2 linked regions of the Lepisosteus oculatus genome follow. The protein of the gene in region 2 interacts with the protein of the main gene of each other region in a biochemical or structural test. Links are inferred from orthologs where the notes say so. Each region holds a gene or a part of one and is shown on either strand. Other genes may lie near its edges.

Region 1 (7,705 bases), on a different chromosome or scaffold from region 2:
GCAATCTTGTTAGATATACCTAACACCCAACAAAATCTGCATCTCTCCTTTTGACTGTTATTACACAATACAGTACATTGTCAGGAAGCACACTAAAGGAAAAACACAAGCAACGGCCAGAGAACCTATACCAGAGGAGATTAAAAACAAATTCCGGTTAGAATTATGGGACGGGGTAAAATATTTTAAGTAACACAATACCGCAACATGTGGAAGATGTAAATAAGTGCAATTGTGATGAGCCAGAAAATCAAGAGAAGAAAGACTGAAAGAGATGGCAACAGATATTGCTCTTGGTCAAGGGAAGGGCTGAACCAATAAGAATGAACATACAGCAGTTATCACCAAAAGATTTAGTTCTCTTCTGAAACGTGACAGTGGTGTGCTGTTGGGTGAAGTTCACAGCCACCCAGCCTAGCTTCATAACATCAAAGAGACAAACGTTGCAAAAGACTGAAATCTGACTGTAACAACCTTACAATTAAACAGCACAGTACACTAATTAGCATGACTGGCTCAAATTGCCAGTCAGCACTGAGGGGTAGAAAGGGTAGTTAACCAGGGAAAGATTCGGAAAACATGATTTCGGAGCCCGATTTCGGGATTTGTTCAAACTGAGAGGGTCTACACACTTGTCTTTGGGGAACAAATGTCGTGTACTTTTAATGTTCTGCAGTGCGGAATTTCATCTCTTCCTACTACACTAATAAAAGAAGAACAGACTGTCCGCAGAACGTCCACTGGTATCCTGGGACATCTCCTCTAACAAATGGCGGAACGGAGAAAAGCAGGAGTATGCTCAACGCCCCTTAACACAAGGAAACTTCGGCAGTCATACCTCTGTTGTCTCGAAGACCCTGCTTAAGTATAAAAGTGTTCAATATCACGAGCTAGCTCAAGTATTCCAAATGTGGGAAACGACAGGAATTCTTTCTCGGGTTGTTTTTTTCCCAATCTTGAAATCCCGAAGTGCCACATCTGGGACTTCAAATGTCTTCTGCCTGAACTGAGTCTTCCTGAGGTAGAACAGGAGACCCAGGCAACAACACTGACAGGACACGTGGTAGCACAATGGCACACCTTTAGCAAAGATGCTCAAAACATGGTATAATAGCTTAACACACGTCTCATTTCAACAGCACCATTCATACAGTATGTGGATAAGAATTTATGACACGTCTGCAGATTCATGTCTATCGAGGATTGTAGTCTGAATCTGAATTGGAGCAGACACACAAAAGCTGCAGAATTCTAGCTTCTTTTTAACTTTTCATTCTCAGTCCTGTACAATCATGACCTCGAGACTCAATAATACTGCATCATTTACACTGCATTTACTGCAGCAACTTCAATCAAGTACCTTTGCTCAAAGATACAACAGCATCCTTCCAGTCTTGAACCCAGAGCCCAGACCACTGCTCTGCATCGCTGCCTTATTAAACTTATTAATTGCTTAAGGATTCATTTTAGATTCTTACCGAGCAGGTTGAGGTGGAATCACTGACGTACAGTTTTACCTCGAGTCTAAAGAAATGCACTACCTTGCGGTGGCTCAGCTTTCATTTAGCTTTATTACAGAAGTACATTCAATCATAAAGCAAGACACTTTTAAAATGTCTATGATTTGTAGAATGGTGACTCTCAGATGCACCATAACTGAGGCGACAATGTTTCAGGCTGTAAAACAAATTATTCTCCAAACAGTGGCTGCTGACTTCAGACAATAAAAGATGGATATTGGATAGCTGGATTTCGATTCATAAGAAGATATTTTTTTACATGATACGGAAGCATATTCTGACATTGAAGTCTCAAAGCTCTTCTCTCCCTAACAAAAGGAGGACGCAAATCTTTATACGCACTGAAACAGCGGAGAAATAACCGGCGGTAATAAAACGGTAGTACGAAAAGGTTCAGGCTGATTAATAACGTGTTCAGGGTAGCACAATGATGCTGAGTGCCTGATCCGTACAGTGAGACAGGCCCCTTCTCTGTGCTCTACTTTCAATACGTCTGTATGCACTCAACACACATGGCGTTGTCGGCAGAGCTGCAGTTCAAAATGTGTGAATGAGAAAGGGATGACACCTCTGCAACAGCTGTTACAGTCTTTACGATCGTGCTTTCTCAACATTCAAACCCAATATCGATGAGCTTCGTAAAAAATCCCCGATAACCACAATAAAGGAACCAGCTTCTGTGTTTAGCTAAGGAAGCCGCTTCGCGATCGCTGGATTCGTCCGCTTTGTTACATAACTTTGTGGCAGTGAGGATGTGGGTTTGTCCAGAACCGGATCAGGATTGGAGATCACGATCGGGTAGTTAACTGGGACAGAAATGGAGCTCCCGTCTTAATGACAGCCACATTTTGAGTTCTGGTGCAGGACCACGCTCCCCTTTCACGCCAACCTGAATTTCTACAAAGTGATCCAGGACATCTTTTTTTCCCCCGAAACCGAGAGAGGAAGCATGTCACTTTGGCTTAGTTTACAAAATCCACTACCCCCGTCACACTGGAATTTTTATTTTTTTTAAAAAACCACTATACCGTATAAGCGAAAAGGCTTTCACAAACACAGGGAAGTCCAATCCCACTGACTGGGCTCTTATTTTTAATTTTACTCCCTGCACTCGGCCTAACCTCCTTCCTGATCCCCGGTATTTCCTGAACCCCTCCCCGGCCGTCTCCGTCAGCCCTAGGAGCTGCCCCCTCTGGACGGCCCCGGTCGGGATGACATTAACTTCCCCTTCCCGGGGCCTCGGTAGCCCTTTTTCAACTGTTAAATTACTCTCTATTTTTTTCTTATCTGAGTGTCGTGTACGTGGCTCAAGCGTTCAGAGAAGCAAGAATGGCTAACCTCTTCGCTTTTAAGGACCTCTTTGAACTCTCGTTTGATCCTCTGCACTGCGATGTTGGCCATGGCTTTGCCGTCTCCTCTCTGTCGCTGTTTGCTGATACAGGCCTACAGCTGCAGCGTCGCTCTGCTCCTCTTTTTTTTTTACAACAAAAACAGACACCCCCCCCCCCTACCCGCACACAAATGGCGATCCGCGGAGTCTGCGCACTGTGCCAAAAGAACAATATGTTACAAACTGGAATAAAACAACTTCCTTCAGGGATATGCTAGGTATTCTGAGATGTAATATGTGTCATGTTTTTACGGATTCCGAGGAGAGGAGCTCTGCTTAATGGCGTTTTCCCATTCCGGGGCTACACAGTCAAAGCTAGGCGTTTTATTATAATAATGTCACTACTCAACTGAAATAGGTGCTGGAGCATAACCTGCTTAGCTTATTTTTGTAATCGATTTGTTTTTTTCCTTCCAGGTGTGATGTTCGAGATAGGGCCCATCTTTTGCACATATTTAATTTTGTGCTTTTTATATTTGTATTTTATTTACATTTTATCTACGTTTCCACCCACTACATACACGAACATGAAATTCAGTGAACGATATTTTTGCCGAATGATTAACCGAGTGTGTGGCAATATGTACTACAAACGGAGGAACGCGGGACCATTTTAGTTGTAAAAAAGTGCTGTACGAAATGTTAATGTGACAAGTACAGAGGGGCCTATGAAAAGTCTCATTTGAAAGATTTCGATCTTTACAGCACCTTGCCCTCTCATCTAATAGGGAAGAGTGCCACCTACTGATGTACCAAAACAAGTTCTGTCAGCCATCTAATTTTCCTTTTACTGACGAGGCCAAGTCTTGCTTAGCTTCTGACATGTGACAAGATCCAGTTTTAAAGTGTCATAAAGCAAAAACATAATCAATGTGACTCATATTTGTCAGAACCGTGGTTCAATTAAGTACCTAAGAAGAGTTCCAATACTATAACTGAATAACGTTTATGACTGGATAAAAAAAAAACAGAAATACTGCTAACTACCTCAGACTTAATTCATGTCTCATTAGGTCTACATAGAACAATTCTAGATTGCTGTTTTTACCACTCCGAATAACCACTCCAAACTACTCCCCAAAACATCTCTCTGAAATCTAGGCCTCCAGGAAGTAACAATGGGCTAGAGATTAGTGGTGCAGCATATTCAGCAGTCCATCAGTGAAGCACTGACCTTTTGACCTTGTGCAGTACTGATACACAACACAAAATGGATAACAAAGAGTACAGCAGGGCAAGTAAGAGAGAACCACCGAGAAGACAGTTGCCAATAATACAACCCCGAGCGCCATATTTATTTATTGTATCCTGAAAATTTCATATGAGCATACAGAATGTGACAGAATAGCCCTGAAGTTCAAACCCTTTAACAATGCTACACAAGTACGGCCCAATCCAAAGTTAATCACAGAGGAATCCAGAATAGTCTCCACGCTGCACACAAGATATGATTCACAAAAGCGACATGCAAACAATGATCATTATTTAACAATGTTACAGAAAAAGCTAACATCTTTCTGTTTTGTTCCTAAGGTTTTGTGTGAGAGCTTCGCTTTGGATGCTGACATTCCCTGTCAGAGCCCGAATTATTACACTTAATAAAGAGTATGTCTGGTCAGATGGCAATGATATCATTTGAGTGCTGCATTGGACCCACACTAAACTCCTTTGATTGAATGTAAAGTTGAAAAGATCATGATTACGAGGAGGAGGCCCAAGAATATGTCCACAGGGGCTTTGGGGAGACCCCAAAAGTTCCGCTCTTTAGATTGTTTCTGTTACTCACGAAAAAAAGGATTTGCTGTTGTGTCTCCTTAACGGCTCAAAAAAAAAAAAACACGGAAGAGCAATTCCTTTGAGAATTATTTTGGAATTTAAAAGTTTAAATTCCAGAATCAAAATCAGCTTTTTTTTTAAACATAGAGTCGGGGAAACTAGTCTCCTATGCAAAGCCGGCACTTATTTGCATGTGTGGGTCTATGCAGGTCATGTTTTAAGCGAAAGCTGCAGTCTGAACTGCAGGCATACTTCCTCATTGCAGAAGAAAAAGGCTTGTTAACGATCTCATGGTTATCTCACAGAAGCCAAGTCAGCAGTAATGCCTCCATATTTACATGTACATTATAGCTCCATACTAAATGTGAAAAGAACAAATGTTGATTTCTCACAACACCATCTTGGCCCCTGAATTCACCTTGCTTCATCTGAGTCAACTCTGTAATATTCACAAAGAATTTCAAAGTACACCTTGAAAACCCAAACTTTGACAAAGTGACTCGTTTGGAAAGTGGCTCGAGTCCATATACACCTGTTTTTGTGTTTTATATTATTTTCTCTTTAAAACAGTTACTACCATTTAAGTCCCTGTTGCTTAGTCTGTATTTTAAAAACCAGATTGCAGCTTAGGAAAGTTGCATCACCCCTGTTTAGACAATACAATGGGCATCAAATTTTTCTACTTCAAATTAACTTATACATACATACATATACTTATATACAGCTGTTGCACCTGTGGTGAGAGTGAAACCATCCACCTAACAGCTCTGGAGTTTCAGCTGTAAATACTATACTCTTATTTTGTTAATGTCACATTCAAATAACTTTATTGGTGTGACTTTTGAAATGCCCTGCTGCCAAGCAATATCAATTAGTAAACATTAACACACATTCCGGACAATGATATAATATTGTATTGAAACTTTCTCTTAGTTCCTCAGACTGTGACAGGAGATTACATATTGGGATACCAGCTCTATTGAATTTCATCCCCCCCTTCCCTAGTTGTTTAGGGTGAATGGAGATGTGCATGCAAGTTCATTCGGTGAGGAAGCACAGAAAATAACATGCCATACTTTTCTCTGGAATGACAGGTCAGGAAAACCAAAAATTATGGAAAAAGCAAGTCAAGTGGAGAAAAAGAGCTTAAATAAAAAATGTCCCTCAGGGGAATAATAATAAATAAAAATCTTATCTTAAACCTACATAAATGGCTGACTCTGTGCTCTGACCCCAAGCTTCTCTCCCTGTCTGTGTGTCGCATGAAGAGGTACAGTATGTTCAAGCTGAGGTATGTGAAAAGACAAATTCATAATATAAGAAAATGTATTTGGCCATCAAAGTGATCTCTTATGTCACAGCTGGCTGGGACACGGCCCTGAGCAGAACTTGCAACAACTTGAAGATCATGGAGAAGCCCAGCCAAAAACAAGACTTTAAACACTAGGACAATGCTGGCAAGAGAAAAAGTGTTCCTTTTCACTGTCCAACCTTCTTCTCTTTGACTAATAAGCCCGAAGGGGCTATGGACCTGTGCCACACCAGCTTCTCAATTGTATGTGACCTGCAATAAATAATAAAAAGGCTGCATGAGCTAAAATCCTGCAAAAGAATGGCTTGATGGATCTTATTTTATTATCCCCGCAGAGGTGACTCACAGAGGTCTTGACCAATGAAAGATCGCTGCATTAAACTTATGTTTTTTATTCAGATTTCCCAAATTATCCACTTTGTTTTTATTTTGCTTTTCAGTGTCATACATTCATACGTCTTCCTGTCTTCTCTCTATTTATAATAATAATAATAATAATAATAATAATAATTGCTTAAACTTATATAGTGTTTTTCTGGACACTCCACTCAAAGCGCTTTACAGGTAATGGGGATCCCCTCCACCACCACCAATGTGCAACATCCACCTGGATGATGCGACGGCAGCCATAGTGCGCCAGAACGCTCACCACACACCAGCTATCAGTGGGGAGGAGAGCCGAGTAATGAAGCCAATTCACAGAGGGGGATTATTACGAGGCCATGATTGGTAAGGGCCAATGGGAAATTTGGCCAGGACGCCGGGGTTACATCCCTACTCTTTTCGAGAAACGCTCTGGGATTTTTAATGACCACAGAGAGTCAGGACCTCGGTTTTACGTCTCATCCGGAGGATGTACAGACGCTACTGTACTTTTAAAATGGTTGCCTGAGAACCCTCTGGTCATGAGGAATTTTAAGTAATCCAGATTGAAAACTCCAGCCAATAATTAATTTGCAAGGTCTCAGTCAGATTTTAACTAAATACCTCCGGGGGGGGCGGGGGGTCGCTACGACTACTGTCTCTGTTCCTCTGTCCTCATTTTCGTTTGTCAAAATTTAAAAACAAAAGCACCTGCTCAGAAAGGTGTTTCCTCACAAGTATGCAAAGCAATTCCGGAAAGATGAAGCATGTGACAATGTCTTCTGTCAAGTTCATCGTCATACTTGGAACAATTTGAAAAAAAAAACACAATGAATGAAGCTTTGTTAGAATTTCGATATTAAGTGATTGGTAAGCGTCATTACCATATTCTTCATAATAACACGCTACAAGAAAATGTAAAAAGGATTGATCACAAAGTAGCAGTACTGGTACTGCAGGTCTCAGTGGCCCAATACGTGCCGATCCGCAATGCTCTGTAATAATTCAGCCTCCGCGATTTTTCTTTACACGTTTCGTCCTCGTATCAGCAAGACACGTAAAAGAACTTAACTGTTACGTGTGGGTTTTTTTTAAAAAAATTCCACCTTTTTAAGATACTTTATTTGAATAAAAGCACCCTGTGAGAAGGAGAGCAAATATTTGCATCCCTCAGCGCCACCCAAGCCTCCAGCGCCTGCACATCTGTATCTGTAGGACCAACGGATCTTTAATCTACGCATCAGCGGCTATGCTCAGCGTTACGAGGCCGTGCGAGACGCCACTTGCAGGTCAACAGACAGCTAAAAATACGCAGACCGGACGCTTGGGTTACTGTCGGGGCTT
Region 2 (8,012 bases):
AGTGTGTCAGCAGTGTGGCCAGTCCGGTCCTGGTGGGGTCAGTGTGTCAGCAGTGTGGCCAGTCCGGTCCTGGTGGGGTCAGTGTCTCAGCAGTGTGGCCAGTCCGGTCCTGGTGGGGTCAGTGTCAGCAGTGTGGCCAGTCCGGTCCTGGTGGGGTCAGTGTCAGCAGTGTGGCCAGTCCGGTCCTGGTGGGGTCAGTGTCTCAGCAGTGTGGCCAGTCCGGTCCTGGTGGGGTCAGTGTCTCAGCAGTGTGGCCAGTCCGGTCCTGGTGGGGTCAGTGTGTCAGCAGTGTGGCCAGTCCGGTCCTGGTGGGGTCAGTGTGTCAGCAGTGTGGCCAGTCCGGTCCTGGTGGGGTCAGTGTCTCAGCAGTGTGGCCAGTCCGGTCCTGGTGGGGTCGGTTCTCATTCCAAGCCAGCTGGTTACTAGACCTACTGGACCAATGTGACAGATTCTCCCAGCTGCTCTTTAAAGGGACCTGCAGACACACTGACCGGCCCCCCAGGACCAGGACTGGACACCCCTGGAGCAGGCACACTGACCGGCCCCTCAGGACCTGGACTGGACACCCCTGGAGACTCACCCCCCAGAGCCCGCAGGGGAGTTGTCAGGCTGCTGGATGCCTTATGTTGCCAGTTGGGATGAAGCCCAGCCAGGAGCTCCGCTGGGATCCTCAGGGCCGTCTCTTCACTCAGTAAGCGACCAGGCCCACCTGGCCCATCTCATTAATAAATGGTTCCAAGTCCATTACCGTAGGAGAAGGCACTCTCCAGCAGTTTGGCAAGATGTCCCAAGCGTGTCGGTGTAAATATACCGTCCACAGTCTTTAGCCAGAAACAGTGTGACCCAGAACTCCACTGAGTAACCACAGATATGGTCATCAACAACACAGTCATCAATCACAGGGTGACACCCTTCCTCAACCCCAACATCATCATCATCATCATCTCGCTCCCCCTGGGGCCCTGAAACAGTCATGTAGAACCGGCTCGGTGGAGCCAGCGAGCCCCGGACCGGGCTGCTCTCATACCACTGCCCCTCTCCTGGACTCGGCGTGCTGTTTCTGTTCATCAGCAGGTCAAGACAGCCAGCAGCAGAGCCCACAGAACACAAACACCAGGACCAGCGACTGTAACCCTGACAGACCTGGTCCTCCTAACTGCACTGCTATTCAACTACACCAGGGACTGAGCTGCATGTCACTCGCCGTACACAAACAATCAAATTCACTGATCAGGTTCTGTCTTGCTGCCCACAATCACGGCCACAGGCTGATGTCCAAAAGCTCTGTCCAACCCACTCTGAACACGTCCCACTGGTGAGGGCTGAGGCCTTGGGGAGGGAGGCAGTGTGGGCTAGTGGATAGAGCTGAGGGATTGGGAGAGAGAGAGGGAGGCAGTGTGAGCTAGTGGCTAGAGCTGAGGCACTGGGAGAGAGAGAGAGGGAGGCAGTGTGGGCTAGTGGTTAGAGCTGAGGCACTGGGAGAGAGAGAGAGGGAGGCAGTGTGGGCTAGTGGTTAGAGCTGAGGGACTGGGACAGAGAGAGAGAGAGGCAGTGTGGGCTAGTGGTTAGAGCTGAGGGACTGGGACAGAGAGAGAGAGAGGCAGTGTGTGCTAGTGGTTAGAGCTGAGGCACTGGGAGAGAGAGAGAGGGAGGCAGTGTGGGCTAGTGGTTAGAGCTGAGGCACTGGGAGAGAGAGAGAGGGAGGCAGTGTGGGCTAGTGGTTAGAGCTGAGGCACTGGGACAGAGAGAGGGAGGCAGTGTGGGCTAGTGGTTAGAGCCGAGGCACTGGGACAGAGAGAGGGAGGCAGTGTGGGCTAGTGGTTAGAGCTGAGGCACTGGGGGAAAGAGAGACAGAGGGAGGCAGTGTGGGCTAGTGGTTAGAGCCGAGGCACTGGGGGAGAGAGAGGGAGGCAGTGTGGGCTAGTGGTTAGAGCCGAGGCACTGGGAGAGAGAGAGGGAGGCAGTGTGGGCTAGTGGTTAGAGCCGAAGCACTGGGAGGGAGAGAGGCAGTGTGGGCTAGTGGTTAGAGCTGAGGCACTGGGAGAGAGAGAGAGAGAGGGAGGCAGTGTGGGCTAGTGGTTAGAGCTGAGGCACTGAGAGAGAGAGAGGGAGGCAGTGTGGGCTAGTGGTTAGAGCTGAGGCACTGGGGGAGAGAGAGGGAGGCAGTGTGGGCTAGTGGTTAGAGCTGAGGTACAGTGTGTTTAGAGAGGATGAAGGGAAAAGAGTATGTTGACGCACTTGAGCAGGGAGCTGCGTCGCCCCTCCTGCACGAGAACCCGTAGCGAGAGGCACGTCATGACAGCCCACGTCCACTCGTGGGGAGCCCAGCCACCCGGGAAAACACTGCACCCGTGGAGCAGGGACCGCGACCTCGGGCAGCACAAACAAAGCAGACGTGGGCTGCAAGTCTGCGGGCTGGCGCTCAGATCCGCCGTGCAGACCGGGAACCGCTACACAACAATGAAAGGCCCAGCCGGGCGCCTCCCCCCGGCTCGGACCCCTCTCCCTGCGGCCTGGGGCTCGCCCGGCCCCGGCTGGGACGCCGGCTCCCTCCCCGGCCCCTGCCCCGGCCCCCTCGGCCCGGACACTGCCCGCCGCACAGGTGGCCGGGCGCCGGGGTGGCGAGCAGCTCCGAAACTTGGGCAGCAACTTGAGCTCCATCCTCGGCTCCGGCAGCAGGCAGCACCGGGTCGGGCAGGAACACCCAGTGCATAAATAACACCCTCAGCCCTTCGCCCTCACTCCCCGCGCTCCCCATCCCCCCTCGCCCCCAAACCTGCCAGCACGGTTCAGCTTTGTCTTCCCGGCCCCCGGCCCGGGGTCCAACGCGAGCAGGCGTCGCACTCACCACATCCGATCTTGCTAAGACCTGCTCCTCGGTGTTTAAAATCGAAAGGGCGAGCAGACAGAGAGAACCCCCCGTGGGAGCTGACGGCGAAGGCGGGAGCTCGGTGGCTTCTCACACGGGAAGAGACAGGCGGCTCGCCGGTTCCCAGCAGCGCAGCGAGAATAAAGCAACATGTGCGGACAGAGGGGCTCCGACGGGGGGCCGCGCCACCATCTTGAGATGGGGGAGAAACAGAGAAAAATACATTTACGCACGACGGCGTACAAGACTCACATTGTACGGAATCAAAGACTTTAACACAGTCTTAAAGTTTAGTGACTTTCTGTGTATTTCTCCATAATACTGGTGGGAGCTCTAAAATTATTTACACAACTAGGACTCTCGCCCCCCCTTCTGTTCGCATGGCTTGGGTCCTCCCGGTCCGAGCGCTGCCGCGCAGGCTGCTGGGAGTTGTAGTCCGGCTCTGCTGCCCGGTGGCGAGCCGGTCTGTTGGTGCCGACGGTCATGTTGAAGCGCAGATTTGAAATGTGAGGTAACGGTTTCAGAATGTCATCGTGGAGGGTCCAGGCGGAGGCACGCGGTCCTGCCGGCCAGCACACGCGAACCGCCTCAGACACGAGCTCCCGCGCACCTTGGCTAATAGCGCAAATTAGTTGCATGAGTGTGCAGCTATGTCACCCAGCAACTCACACCTGGGAGCCCACTGGAGCCCAGCAGGTCAGTACCTGGATGGGAGACCTCCTGGGACAAACTCCTGCTGCTGGAAGATGTGTTAGTGGGGCCAGCAGGGGGCGCTCACCCTGCGGTCTGAGTGGGTCCTAATGCCCCAGTATAGTGATGGGGACACTATACTATAAAAAGGTGCCATTCTTCAGATAAGACATAAAACTGAGGTCCTAACTCTCTGTGGTCATTAAAAATCCCAAGTGTTTCTCAAAAAGAGTAGGGGTGTTACCCTGGTGTCCTGGACTAATTTCCCATTGGCCCTCACCAATCATGGCCTTCTAATAATCCCCATTTCTGAACTGGCTTCATCACACTTACATAGCACATCTCTGGACACTCAACTCAAAGCGCTTTACAGGTAATGGGGATCCCCTCCACCCCCACCTGGATGATGTGACAGCAGCCAGAGTGCACCAGTACGTTCCCCACACACCAGCTATCGGTGATGAGCAGAGCAGAGTGGTGAAGCCAGTTCAGAGATGGCCTTTTTACAGTATAGTGTCCCCATGACTATAGTGGAGCATTAGGGCCCACACTGACCACAGGGTGAGCGCCCCCTGCTGGCCCCACTAACACCTCTTCCAGCAGCAACCTTAGTTTTTCCCAGGAGATCTCCCATCCAGATACTGACCAGGCTCACACCTGCTGGGCTCCAGTAGGCTCCCAGTTCTGAGCTGCAGGGTGATATGGCTGCTGAGAGGCTGCAGGAACAGAGTCTCTTTAGTCTGAAGTAAGTGTCCTACTCTGACAGGCTGGAGGGACTGAGTCTCTTTAGTCTGAAGGGACTGTCCCACACTGACAGGCTGGAGGGACTGAGTCTCTTTAGTCTGAAGGGATTGTCCCACACTGAGAGGCTGGAGGGACTGAGTTTCTTTAGTCTGCTGAGTGTCCCACACTGACAGGCTACAGGAACTGAGTCTCTTTAGTCTGAACGGAGTGTCCCACACTGGCTGTGCAGGAAAGTGCATAGCCAGGCGTTACTGTAAATAATCCAGCGTGTGTTTTCCTCTGCCTTTACTGTATCGGGATCAGCGAGTGTGTGCGATCGGACTTCTGTGGCGTCAGTACTCTGCACAAGAGGTGCTTCCTCACCTGTCCTTCACGAGACTGCTGTCGGCCTAGTCACTGCTGGCACCCCGAGTCCCACCTGCCTGAGTGCTGAGGGACCCGCCCTTTCAGCTGACTGACAGGCCCCCGGTCTCTCCTCTGTCCACACAGGGAAATGGGACAGGCTGGGGCAGAGCCTGAGCCTGGAGCTGGGTGTCCACTGGGACAGAAACCGGGGTGCGTGGGGTCAGAGGTGAGCAGCTCCAGCCCGGAGACTGACCTGCGCTGGCCAGCGGGATTCATCTGGCCGGCGGACAGCGACGCAGACACGCACACAGACAGGAAGGGAAGACTGTCACAGCGCTTTGCTTGAGAGTTTTATTGAAAGAACTGCTGACAGATGCAAAAAATTGTCAGAGAACAGGTGTGCCGCTGGGGTGGGAGAGAACACAGCGGAGCGCAGAGGGGCATGCTGGGCCGCCGGGCGGGAGAGGCACAGGGAGGGGCAGGAACACCTTCAGAAGGGCAAACACAAAACAGGAGACAGAGAAGAAAAATAGTGTATCCGTATATCGCCATGAGTGGCATTTCCCAGAGTGCTTCCCTGTGTGCTGGATCACAAGCCTCTCTGCGACTGGCCGGGTCCGGCCTCACCCTCCGGCTGCTCTCCTGGCTCCGGCTCCGGCGGGGGGGGCGGGGGGGCTGTGCAGGGCGGGATGGTGAGGTGGGGGAAGGGGGGCAGGCTGGGGCGCGTGGCGGGGGCCAGGGGGGCGCGCGCTGGGGAGGGCCGGTCGCTGATTTGCTCCAGCAGGGAAGGCATGTCGCCCTCGATCTTCTCCAGCACTGCGGCCATCTGCTTCTCGATCTGCTCGATCACGCTGTCCATGTGCCAGTCGCCGGCGGCCTCGCGCTGCCCCTGGACGGGCACGGTCTTGCGGTGCGCCGCGCCCGGGGAGCCCCTGGCCGCGCCGGGGTCCCTGCGTCCGGGGCTCCCGTCCTGGGGCTCCCTTGCGCCCCTCCTCTCCGCCACGGCCTCGGGCAGCTGTGTCTGGCACCAGCTCTCCGCCGCGCCGGCTCTCCTCCCACCCCCGCCGGCGCCCCGGTCCCCCTTCTCCGGCCGGAGCCCGGGCGTGTCCCCGGCCCCTCCCCCCGCGGCCCCCCGGCGCGCTGCCGGCCCCCCGGCCCTCGTCTCCGGGTCCGCCGGGGAGGCGGTGTCGTCCGCAGAGCGGTGCAGGACAGCTGCCATCTTGCGCCTGTTGGGGGTGTCCGGGGGGCACCCCGACCTCGTCTCCCCGGGGCTGGCCGGGTGCTCCAGTACGATCACCTTGGTGCCGCGGTCTGGGACCCTCCTGGTCTCGACGCGGGGCGAAGGGGGGGGCTTGTCGGGGGGCGCTCTGGGCTTGTCCGGCCCCAGGCTGGCCGCCGTCGTCCCCGCGCTGTCGCTGGCCGCCCCCCCCTCTGGCTGCAGCCCAAGATCGCCTGCAGGAAGGGGGTCCGTGGTGGAGGTCGGGGAGACCCCCACCGACAGGCTGCTGGGAATCCCGGCCTGCTCCGGCCGGCTCTCCACCGTCACCTTGTGGGAAACACTCATGGACGTGCGGGGGGTGACGGCCAGGCGCGCCCCCCCCTCGCCCCCGCTGCCGGCCTCGGGGGCGCGCAGGCGCTGCATGAAGGTGGTCACTCGGATGGCCTTCTGTGGGGACAACAGGCAGGTTACAGGACCACCTCGCCGCCTGGGGACAGCCAGCTGAGGCCCCAGAACAGCCTGGCTTAAAAGCCACAGCCATTGTCTTAACGACCTCCTCAGAATACATTTCAGCTGCTCAATCCCCAGATTAATTGCTTGAAACGAGCATGTCCAGGAGGACACAATTGCTCGCTTTGTGGCCAGGGCCCCTGCAGAGCTCAGCTGGATTTCAGGCTGTCAGTGCCGGCCAGTTCTGAGCAGGAGGTCCAGTTGACCCGGACGTCTATACAGACACGTACTGGTCGGACACAGTAGTCTGGTCCTAAAGTACTGGCCAGCATTGCAATTCATTAACCAGATGGAGCAGGAAGACAGGTCCTGACAAATCCGACACGTGTTAGTAGGTGAACATTACTAAGACTGAGCATGTTGTGGTTAAAGGGTGATCTCCTACTTTTCTAAATGACGTTAAGGCACAATGTCATACAGTGTTGGACTTCGATGGGCAGAGACAAGGAAGCTGCAAAGAAACCACCTGAACAGCAAAGCTGAAGCTGCTCCACCATAAGAGGATTCGTCCAGACCTTCTCCTGCCCTGCAGAGGAGTGCAGCTGTGACCACATCTGGCCAGGACACCAGCCTGCGCCAGGTGACACCGGCCACCCGCCCACACCCTCCTCTGGGCAGGCATGGCCCAGCTGCTCTCTGCAGAGCGGAGGGGCCAAAGAGACTGTCTGATCAGGGGAACACTTTTCTCTCAGTGCCCCCACTGCTGGCTGGAGTGACAACGTGCTGAACTGGCAGCTCCCGGCACTGTTAGTATGGGACCTCTGACTGTGGCCGTAGAGACACGGCTCATGGTCAGAGAGCAGCTCAGCCTCCATTGGCCCAGAGTCACTCCAGTGATCAAGCAGGTAATCAGCGTGGAGCTCCAGACTGCGGGAGGCTGGGCTGGGCTGGACCGTGGCGCCGATGCCCTGCTCGGGTGACTGGCCACTCTGCGGACATAATGGATGCGATGAACCTCATTGGTCTTCAAAGAGAAGGAACATGTGCTTGAGATTCCTGTGTGGCTCCCCAGCTTTGAATGCATGTGCAAGAATATCTGCGTGTGAGTGTTTGTGTGTTTGTTTGTCTGTTGTGTCTGTGAGTGTTTGTGTATCTGTGTGTGTGTTTTCATGTGTCTGTGTGACTGTGAGTGTTCGTGTGACTGTCTTTGTGTGTGAGTGTCCGTGTGTCTGTGTGTGATTGCTCGTGTGTCTGTCTCTCTGTCTGTGAGTGTTCGTGTGTCTGTGTGTGTGCAGATGTACCCCCTGTCTACAGATTCTCCAGTCAACATCTCTGAGTTTTCAAAAATGCTCCAGGGCTCTCTCTGTCTTTCAAGACCAAAAGGAAGAGATACTGATACACAATGCAGACCCATTATGTATCCCAAGTATGTTTCCCTTCACAAACACATGGAGACCCCATTAGATGTGTTGGAGAGCAGGGATGAAGCAGGACACTTTTTTCAGTTTTCCATCAGCTGTGGAGAGGGGAGCTCTACTGTCTTTATCCATCACTGCTGGTGACCAGAAGGGTCTCCTCCCGGCTCTGTGCTCCTTGTCTGGGTGACTCGTCCCTTCGCTGAGGTCATCACTGCTGTACCTGCCGAGCACAACTCTCTGCACTTGCCTGCACTGTCGCTGCAGGAGGTGTCACCTC

The links. The genes of interacting proteins can lie anywhere in the genome.
Region 1: of the proteins of uba1 (region 2) and ube2kb, one has a biochemical effect on the other in vitro, tested with the Homo sapiens proteins (9 studies listed by BioGRID, with this or other methods). The link is inferred for Lepisosteus oculatus from reciprocal best matches to the Homo sapiens genes UBA1 and UBE2K.

Annotation. Positions count from the first base shown.
Region 1 is NC_090696.1:68,331,658-68,339,362, forward strand, and holds the start of ube2kb (ubiquitin-conjugating enzyme E2Kb (UBC1 homolog, yeast)), read right to left. Parts: upstream 3,017-7,705; 5' UTR 2,922-3,016; coding exon 2,859-2,921; intron 1-2,858. UniProt on the Homo sapiens protein: Accepts ubiquitin from the E1 complex and catalyzes its covalent attachment to other proteins. In vitro, in the presence or in the absence of BRCA1-BARD1 E3 ubiquitin-protein ligase complex, catalyzes the synthesis of 'Lys-48'-linked polyubiquitin chains.
Region 2 is NC_090697.1:77,869,642-77,877,653, reverse strand, and holds the start of uba1 (ubiquitin-like modifier-activating enzyme 1), read right to left. Parts: upstream 3,019-8,012; 5' UTR 2,849-3,018; intron 1-2,848. Other genes in the region: camkvl (caM kinase-like vesicle-associated, like), read right to left, coding at 5,238-6,314. UniProt on the Homo sapiens protein: Catalyzes the first step in ubiquitin conjugation to mark cellular proteins for degradation through the ubiquitin-proteasome system.